Linked DNA regions of Mus musculus. The protein of the gene in region 2 purifies or fractionates together with the protein of the main gene of each other region. This does not show direct contact. Links are inferred from orthologs where the notes say so. Each region holds a gene or a part of one and is shown on either strand. Other genes may lie near its edges.

What was found. The genes of interacting proteins can lie anywhere in the genome.
Region 1: the proteins of Med21 (region 2) and Med12l purify together in Homo sapiens (affinity purification with mass spectrometry; 3 studies listed by BioGRID and IntAct, counting the BioPlex papers as one, with this or other methods). This does not show direct contact. The link is inferred for Mus musculus from reciprocal best matches to the Homo sapiens genes MED21 and MED12L.

The regions. Positions count from the first base shown.
Region 1 is NC_000069.6:59,005,715-59,009,818, reverse strand, and holds the start of Med12l (mediator of RNA polymerase II transcription subunit 12-like protein), read right to left. Parts: upstream 2,842-4,104; 5' UTR 2,818-2,841; coding exon 2,719-2,817; intron 1-2,718. UniProt on the Homo sapiens protein: May be a component of the Mediator complex, a coactivator involved in the regulated transcription of nearly all RNA polymerase II-dependent genes.
Region 2 is NC_000072.6:146,641,397-146,645,434, forward strand, and holds the start of Med21 (mediator of RNA polymerase II transcription subunit 21), read left to right. Parts: upstream 1-1,182; 5' UTR 1,183-1,214; coding exon 1,215-1,256; intron 1,257-4,038. UniProt on the Homo sapiens protein: Component of the Mediator complex, a coactivator involved in the regulated transcription of nearly all RNA polymerase II-dependent genes.

The DNA of each region.
Region 1 (4,104 bases), on a different chromosome or scaffold from region 2:
AAGAAGACTCGAGAAAGACCCCTGCTTTTCTGATTCCCCATTTTTAAAGGGGAGGGCAGTCTATGTGCAGATGACAAAGTACTCTACCACCACATTTAATAAAGTCTAAAGGGAGACCAGGGCACTGCAAAGCTCGTGAATGAATTCGATCAACTGATGAGGCAGGTTAACGGATCTTTTCATTCTGTCTCCACAGAGTCCTCCCGAAGGATTCCACTCCGTAGCCTGGGACCCTATTTCCAGAACGCTCTTACCACTTCTTATCAATAAAAACTTCATCGGTAGCAATCAGGCAACTTTGGTTCAGTGAAGAATAGGGATTTTCTTACCCAAACATGAGGAAAATTATAAAGTTTTACCTTGTTTTTCCTGACGAGCACAACTAAACTAGTTAACAAGAGAGGCGTGATCCAAATTTGCCAACCACTAAGATGCTCAACCATAATTCAAACTCACCACGGTCAAACCGGAAGCCTGGACTTCCTCCATTCAATCAATACTTTATCTCAATGTGGTGGTACAGGTCTAGGATCTCAGGACTTTAGAAATGGAAGCAAGATCTTGAGTTCAACATCAGCTTGGGTAGATCAGTGTGACCGTTCTCAAACAAATCACCACAGCTCTCTGATGGATAATGGTATAGATTTGGCCTCCTTCAAATATGTGTAATTATATATCTTGTGTTTGCATATAATAACATATATGTGTGGGGGGGTGATGTCTTATACAATCATATTCATATTGCAGTAAACTGCAAAAAATCAAGACTGTCCAGAAAACACAATACAGTTTATCTACAGTTAATAAAAGGATCAAATTACTGGTTGTACAAGGACAGGGTGGAAATTTGAGGGAGTAGTATAATACATAAATAACTGAAGCTTAGGAATCTGCTCGCCACCAACCAAAAAAACAGCCGAGCACCTGTTCCATATTGTACCCAAATTTGACTACAGCCACATATAACTCTCTCCTCAAGAGAGATAGAATATCGGTCGCCTGGGGGGAAGTGAATCCGAGGAGCAGCAGCAGCAGCACAAGTCACCGGGACACAGTGCAGGGCTGAAGGAGGGCTGCGCTGATAACCCAGTGTGTGCTTATTCACCACACACTTCAGATAAAGCAAGCGCTTCTGAGCTGCAATCACCCTATCTCCTCAAATCAAAGTAGGAAAAAAGTACCCTCTACAGGCACTTCTTCCAGCTTTAGATTTCTAGAAAGTGACCCAATGTCCAAAATTATTCTTTCCAGGATCCAAGTCCTGAAGTGACTGTCATATGTAAAAATAAATGCTAAATAAACAAGCACACATGCTAATCCAAGCCACCAACCCGAAGCTACGTCACTCTCCAGAAAGACCTAGTGAGGCACTAATTATAAGATGAGAAAAGTTAAGAAACGAATGTCCCTATCCCTGCCAAAACTTTTAAAATCACCTTTCTTTACACTTGGTCTTTAGAGTCTCTCTTCTTTCCAGACCTTAGGAGCTGCATAAGCACATGCTGCCCACCTGTAAACTTCCCAGCCATCTTCAATCGACTTCCCTGACCCTCAAACTCAATGGGAGAAGGCCAAAAGGAATTGCTCGTGATGATTTCTCAGACACATTATTAGCCAGTCTGGGCTGAGCCTCTACTAAAGAGACGGATACATTTATCAAAATAGAAGCCTGAAAGAACTCTGACTTGCAAAGTCCTCTTGTGAAATCAGGGGACACGCAAACTTTTATAGACTTTCCAGGCTCACGGGAAGACTAGAATACATGGCAGTTTCATGCTTAACTATAGAAAAGAGAAGATGGGTGGGCTGTAGCTGGCAAAGTCTCAAAGGACAGCTGGGGAGCAGGGGAACCAAAAAAGAGAAGATAGGCAAGTCTCTGGGCAAATTGTATAGCCAAGGGCGATCATTATTATGGCTGGAGAGTTGTTACATAATTACTTTTTAACTCCTGACACATACCTACATAGCTTACAATAACCACTGAAGCTACTGTATGTGCAACAGCCAAGGTTTCTCCATTTAATTTCATTCAAAGAAAATAAGTAATCTGGAAGCTATTCCTTTCTAAGATAACTTGTCTGCTTTTACACATACAAAACAGCCTCCGGGAAAGCCAATTTGTCTCTCTAGAAACAAAATTCGGTGTTTCTCTTCAATATTGTTTTCTTAAATTTTTTTTAAAGGCGAGAGATACAGAGGTACATTCACCGAGCCAAATATATGATCACCTCGCTAAAAAACGACTTCCATTCCAAAGTGGAGGATGTGATAAGGGTCCCTCCCCCATCCGTACCCATACCGCTGGCGCAAAACGCAAGACCACAGTGTCCGATGTACTGCATTCCAGCATTTGTCAAAAAGTTTACGAGGATTTATCGAAGCGACGGAGTAAAAAACAATAAAACAAGCAAAAACGGAGGAAAGCGAGCAAGAAGATGCTAGCGAGGTAGAAGCGGTAAAGCGCCCAGCGGCGCAGTGCAAGGCCCGACAACCGGGAAGCGACCCAGCCCCCCGCAGAGCGATCGCCCAGCGGAGCGCGGGGGTTGGCAGGCTCCGGGTCTCAGTAGCTCAGGGTCCCTGATACCCTAACCCGGGCCCCGCCTCCGATCCCCTCCCCAGCCCTTCCCCCGCAGCGCCGGGGACGCCCGCCGGGCCAGCTTGGCCCCGGGTCAGCGCTGCGGAGCGCCGCACAACCGCGGAGGCCGCCGGCGCCCTTACCTCCTTCTGCTTAGGGTCCTGCGGGTAGACGTCGGGCGGCCCGAGCCGCGGGCGCTTCAGCGGTCTCTGCTCATAGCTGAGAAGCCCGAAGGCGGCCATGATCTCTCATGTTAACCGGCGAAATGAATGAGAGTTGGAGCTGGAGCTGGAGCAGCCGCCTCTGAGCACCAGGGAGCAGCACTTTGCAGACAGACTCCCTCTTCCCTCCACTCTGGCTCGCCGTGGCGCTGCAGGCAGGAGAAAAAGCAGGTTGGAGACGGCCGCTGCCCGCGCGCAGACGCGCTCAGGGGGGCCGCCTTCGTGGGCACCCCGCTGCGCCGAGCCCCGGGACGCCTGCTCCGCGGGCGGCGGCGGCGGCGCCCGGGCTGGAGGTCGGCCAGGGTCCGCCGCGGCCACGGCCTCCCGCCACCCCCACTCGGTCCCCAGGGGGAGGAGCAGATGATGGGAACGTGTGACTTTCTTCACCAATGAACCCAAACCCACCCAGAGGGGCCCAGGCTGGGGTGGGGGAGGGGCATAAAGGGGGAAAAAACTTTTCTTGGCGCCTAGGCGGGAGGCTCGGTGCCCGCCGAGAGCTAGGCGTCCTCGGGCACGCGAGGTGCTGCGCAGCGGCCCGCGCCCACTTCCTGGCTCGCCATGCCCGGCGCTCGCAGCTTTGCACTCGGAGGACCCGCCGCCCGGGCACGGAACCGCGGACGCGGAGGGAGAGAGGCCGCGAGAGGCGAGGATGCGGACGCCGAGCGAGGCCGGTGCCTCCGGGTTCAGCCAGTGCACGAGCTGCGCGGGTCCCCTCGGCGGCGCCGGGGCGCTTTGCTGGCTGCCGGCTGCAGCGGCCGCGGCGGCTGGAGGGGGCCGCGCTCGCTGTGGCGCGGGGCCGACTTAACCCTTTGCTGGCCCTCCCGGGGCTGGGGAGGGGGTGAGCAGAGGTGGCCGCGAGCACCGACGGACACATCGGGAGCACGGGCGACTGGGCTCCCCGGGCCACCCCTAGACGTCGCGCGCCCTGATCCCCACCCCCAACAGTTTACCTGTTGGTCCCTAGCTAGCGGCTAGGCAGGGGCGGGCAGCCGGGACGCCCTGGCGGCCGCAGCCTCCATCGCTCCGTTAGGGTTGGGGAATTGGATTTGACGTTGCGAGGTGTCTGGCTCGCCAGACTGCGGACGCCGCGAAGTTTGCGGCTGCCTGGGGGCGTCGCTCGCTGTCGCCAGCGTTCTCGCCCCCACGGCCCGGGAGCGCGAGCTCCCGAGTTGGCGGACGGCGGCGCGGCGGCCGCACTGAGCATGCCCAGCTTGGCGGCCGGACCGCGGAGGAGTTGGCTGCGAGCGCCTCGAGCGCTCCCATCTGCCTCTCCGGGTTTTCGCAGCCGCAGAGCGCGCATTCCACGGG
Region 2 (4,038 bases):
CTTCTCTGGTGGATACCTCCCAACCTCCTCATCTGTTATGTCCTCCTCTGTTAGGATTCACCAAGAAGGCTCTCTCACGATGACAGTCCACCTTGATAGTGGACTTCCCAGCCTCCAGAACACTGTAGGGAGTAAACGTTCTTTGTAATTGCTTGTCTGTGCTATTCAGTTGTAGCAACAAAAAACAGGCTCACATACCCACCCACCTCCAACTCCAGAAATGATCATCTTGGAAACTATGATAAACAGTTTGTCTGAGTTCCACAAACCAGGTATTTGCAGATTCAGGACTCACTTCCCATCAGAATATCCCCAGGCTAACAGAAATGACCTTTCTGCTATCACCCTTCACACGGAAAACTGTCAGGAAGCCCCAGTTCTAAATTTACATTCTGAAGCTGATCTTTCTTAAGATCGAACCTGCCTAGACCGGGCGTGGTGGCGCACACCTTTAATCCCAGCACTTGGAAGGCAGAGGCAGGCAGATTTCTGCGTTCGAGGCCAGCCTGGTCTACAGAGTTTGCACCTCCTACCTTCAAATGCTCTTCTTCCTCCTTTTCACTTTACTTATCACCCGTTCCTCATCACAGAGCTGTTTAATGCTTTCCATTTCCCCCAGGCACTCCCACTCAGAATTAAAGCACTAATCTAGTCTCCAGTTGGGTAAGCACCTCCTGCCCCAAACTAATTAGCCACCCTTTTCTAGCCATTTTGATTTCCTGGAGAATGTTAATTTCTCGAATTTAAATGTTGTGAATGGCGGGCTGCGAGTATGCTTTGTGGTATACCTGCAAAGTAAAAGCAAAGGAAAACAAGTGTTCCAGATAAACAAAACAAAGAAACGAACGAACAAAAACAAAACCCCTCACAAACAAAACACATTCCAGGCCAGCCAGGACTACACCGTGAGGCATAGCCTCGTCAGAGCTAACAGACAGAATGGAGGAAGCACCTTCCCTTCACAGGCTCGGTCCAGCGTAAACGCGAACCCGTAGCAGCTCAGCCTGCACGCGTCCCTCCTCCCCCACACCAGCCCTGGATCCCACCCGCCTGACGTCAGCAGGCCCGCAGGCTGGCCCCGCCCCTCCCCGGCAGCATGCTTCCTTAACCACGCCCCTCAAGGAGGAAGGCCTGTGATTGGTCCGGAGGCGTCATAAATTGGCCAATCGCTCGCGCTCTAGCAGCTTTTGCGCACCCTTGCGTGCGTGGTGAACATGGCGGATAGACTCACTCAGCTGCAGGACGCTGTGAACTCGGTGAGGGCTTTCCTCTGCTCGCCAGCCTTGCTTTCCTGACGCGGAGAGAGGAGGAAGGGGCGAGGCAAGGCCCCGGGGAGCGCGCAGATTGAGGTCGCCGCGGGCGGCGCACCCCGTGAGGCCTGGGTCTCACGTAGTCCACAGGGCGGGGTCTGAGGAGACGGGCCTGTCCTGAGGGGAGACCGGGCCGGGCGGCTTGTCCTGAGGGGAGGCGGGACCCGGGGGCCTGTCCTGAGGGGAGGTCGGAGCCGCCAGTCTCTCCTAAGGGAGGTGGGACCCGGGGGTCTCTCCTGAGAGGATGTGGGACCTGCCAGTCTCTCCTGAGAGCCATGGGACCCGGGGCCTCTGGTGAGGTGCGAACTTGAGGAAGGGAACGAGTGGCCGCTAATAAGGAGGGGACCCGACGACGGCCTCTCCTGAGGAGACTCAAGGTCTGCGGCCAGGTAGCCAGGAAGCGAGTACTCAAGTTCCAGGGATGCTTCTAGAACTTCCTTTGTGGGGCAGCACACGCCTAAGCACTTTTGTGTGTATCCCTCCCTCGCGTTTCAATTTCAACCTGCCAAACGGATTTCTCCTGTGATTCCACCTCTGAGGCTGAGACAGGAGGATTGCAGCGAGCTCCGGGCCAGCCTGAGCTCCAGTTTGATAGCCCATCTCAGAAAACAAAACACAAAAGACCACAACAAAGTGTTGAGTGTTTGTAGGTTGGTGTATGAGTGACCAGGGCGTGAGCTTGCCTTGCTTTCTGTAGGCCTTCACTCCTCCCTCCGCTCTTGGCGACTCCAGCACCAATGGTTGGAGAGTAACGTCTAGAAGAGGCCAGATCCTGGCCTCTCCGTTTCTTTGCATTTGTTTAAGTCTGCTTTACGATCTTCCCTAAGAGGCTCTTATAGGTGGAGTGAAGCTCTTACAGCACAGTACCACAGAACAGTGAATGTACACAAGAGGGATTTTTGTTTTGTTTTGAGATGGTCTCACTGTGTAGCTCTGGCTGACCTGCACACTGTGGAGACCAGATTGGCGTTAAAAACAAAAAAAAAAAACAGCCCAGTAATCAAAATCTACAACAAAAGCTCCTGAAAACTGCTAGCTTCTCTAACTTTGTCGCCTCTGGCTGTTATTCTGGCTTAATTGTACATGAATGGAAAACTAAATACTGAGCCTGGAATGGTGACCCACATCTTTAATTCCTGTAATCCCAGCACTTGGGAGGCAGAGGCAGGCGGATTTCTGAATTCAAGGCCACCTGGTCTACAGAGTGAGTTCCAGGAGAGCCAGGGCTACACAGAGAAACCCTGTCTCGAAAAAAAAAAACCAAACCAAAACAACAACAACAAAAATAGTGCAACAGTTTTCCATTGGTAATTAAAATCTCTTAGTGTCATTCTGGTTGTAGTTTGATGTAGAAGAGCCTACACAGTATATGCCTGCTGAAAAAAAAAATCTAAATACCTAGTTCTCTGGACAGTGTTTTTTAAACAGGAATGTTATAACAAGGCTTCTTGGTAATTCATCATTTTTGAGAGTACATTGAAATTGTGTATCTACTAGTGGGAAGACTAGTCTATTCTGTGTAAATAAAGTAGTTTTAAAGTTGAGGGGCTATCTCTTAAATGTTGATGAAGTCACCAAGGTACATTCTGTTTTGCAAAGATTCCCTGGGCTGCCAGCCAACCTCTCCCAAGAAAATACTTTTGTAATTTTACAAGTCTTTCTTGTTTTAATTTAAATTTTTTTGGTTTTACAAATCTTAATAATGCTGTGTAGAAGCTCATCTCCTAAGTATGCATATTCATGTAGGTCCTATAGTTAGGATGTTAAGGATACGATATAGTCTTAGGAGTACTGATAATTGAGTTAATATGTATGCCTACTGTGTCTACAGGGAATGTGTTTACAAAGAACTATTCTAGGAGCTTAGAAAGATGTCATAAACTCAAGAGACTTTTAGATGATGCAAACAAACCCCATATGTGGCTAGGGAGTTACAGTGGATTGTTTTCAGCTCTTAAGAGCTAAAGTAGATTGGAACACAGAGCAATATTAACATTTGTTCTGCCATCTGGAAACTCCATGTTCATTTCTATAATATATACAGTACTTGTCATGGAGTTGGTTTTTCAATAAATATTTTTGAACAGATTAATAATGGGTCTTGAATGAATTTACAAGACAGAACACTAGCTGCTGTATTGAGTAAGCTTCATTTATATTTTTCTTTCTTATGACAGTGCTGCTAAATAGAACACTGCAACTTAGAAAGCCAACCAGGTTAGCTTTTCAATGACAATTCAGAATTTTACATTGAAATAATGACAGCAAAACAATAGAAATGTTTATTGATTGGAAATACTAAATGAGGCTTCAGGGGTTAGGACTAGTGAGAACATATGTTTAGTTTGTGAATGGTGTGAACTTATATTCTCAAATTACTTAAATGCAATGCTTTTTAGTTTTGCTTCTTTTGAGGCAGAATCTTATGTAACTCTGGCTGGCCTAGAACTGTCCACATACTCCAGGATGGCCTCAAACTGACAGATCTGAGTGCCTCTGTCTCTGCCTCTCTTATGCTGAGATCCATCATGCCCCAAAAACAAACAAATTTAAGCAACAAGGTTACAACTTGAATCTTGAAGAATACATTTCTGATAATTTACAGTTTAAAAAAATTTTTGTTTTTCATGTAGTACAAACTGGCCTCAAACTCCCTTACATAGTTGAGGATGGCGACCTTGAACTGCTCTTCCTTGCCTCCATCTGATCATTGGGTTACATGTATATG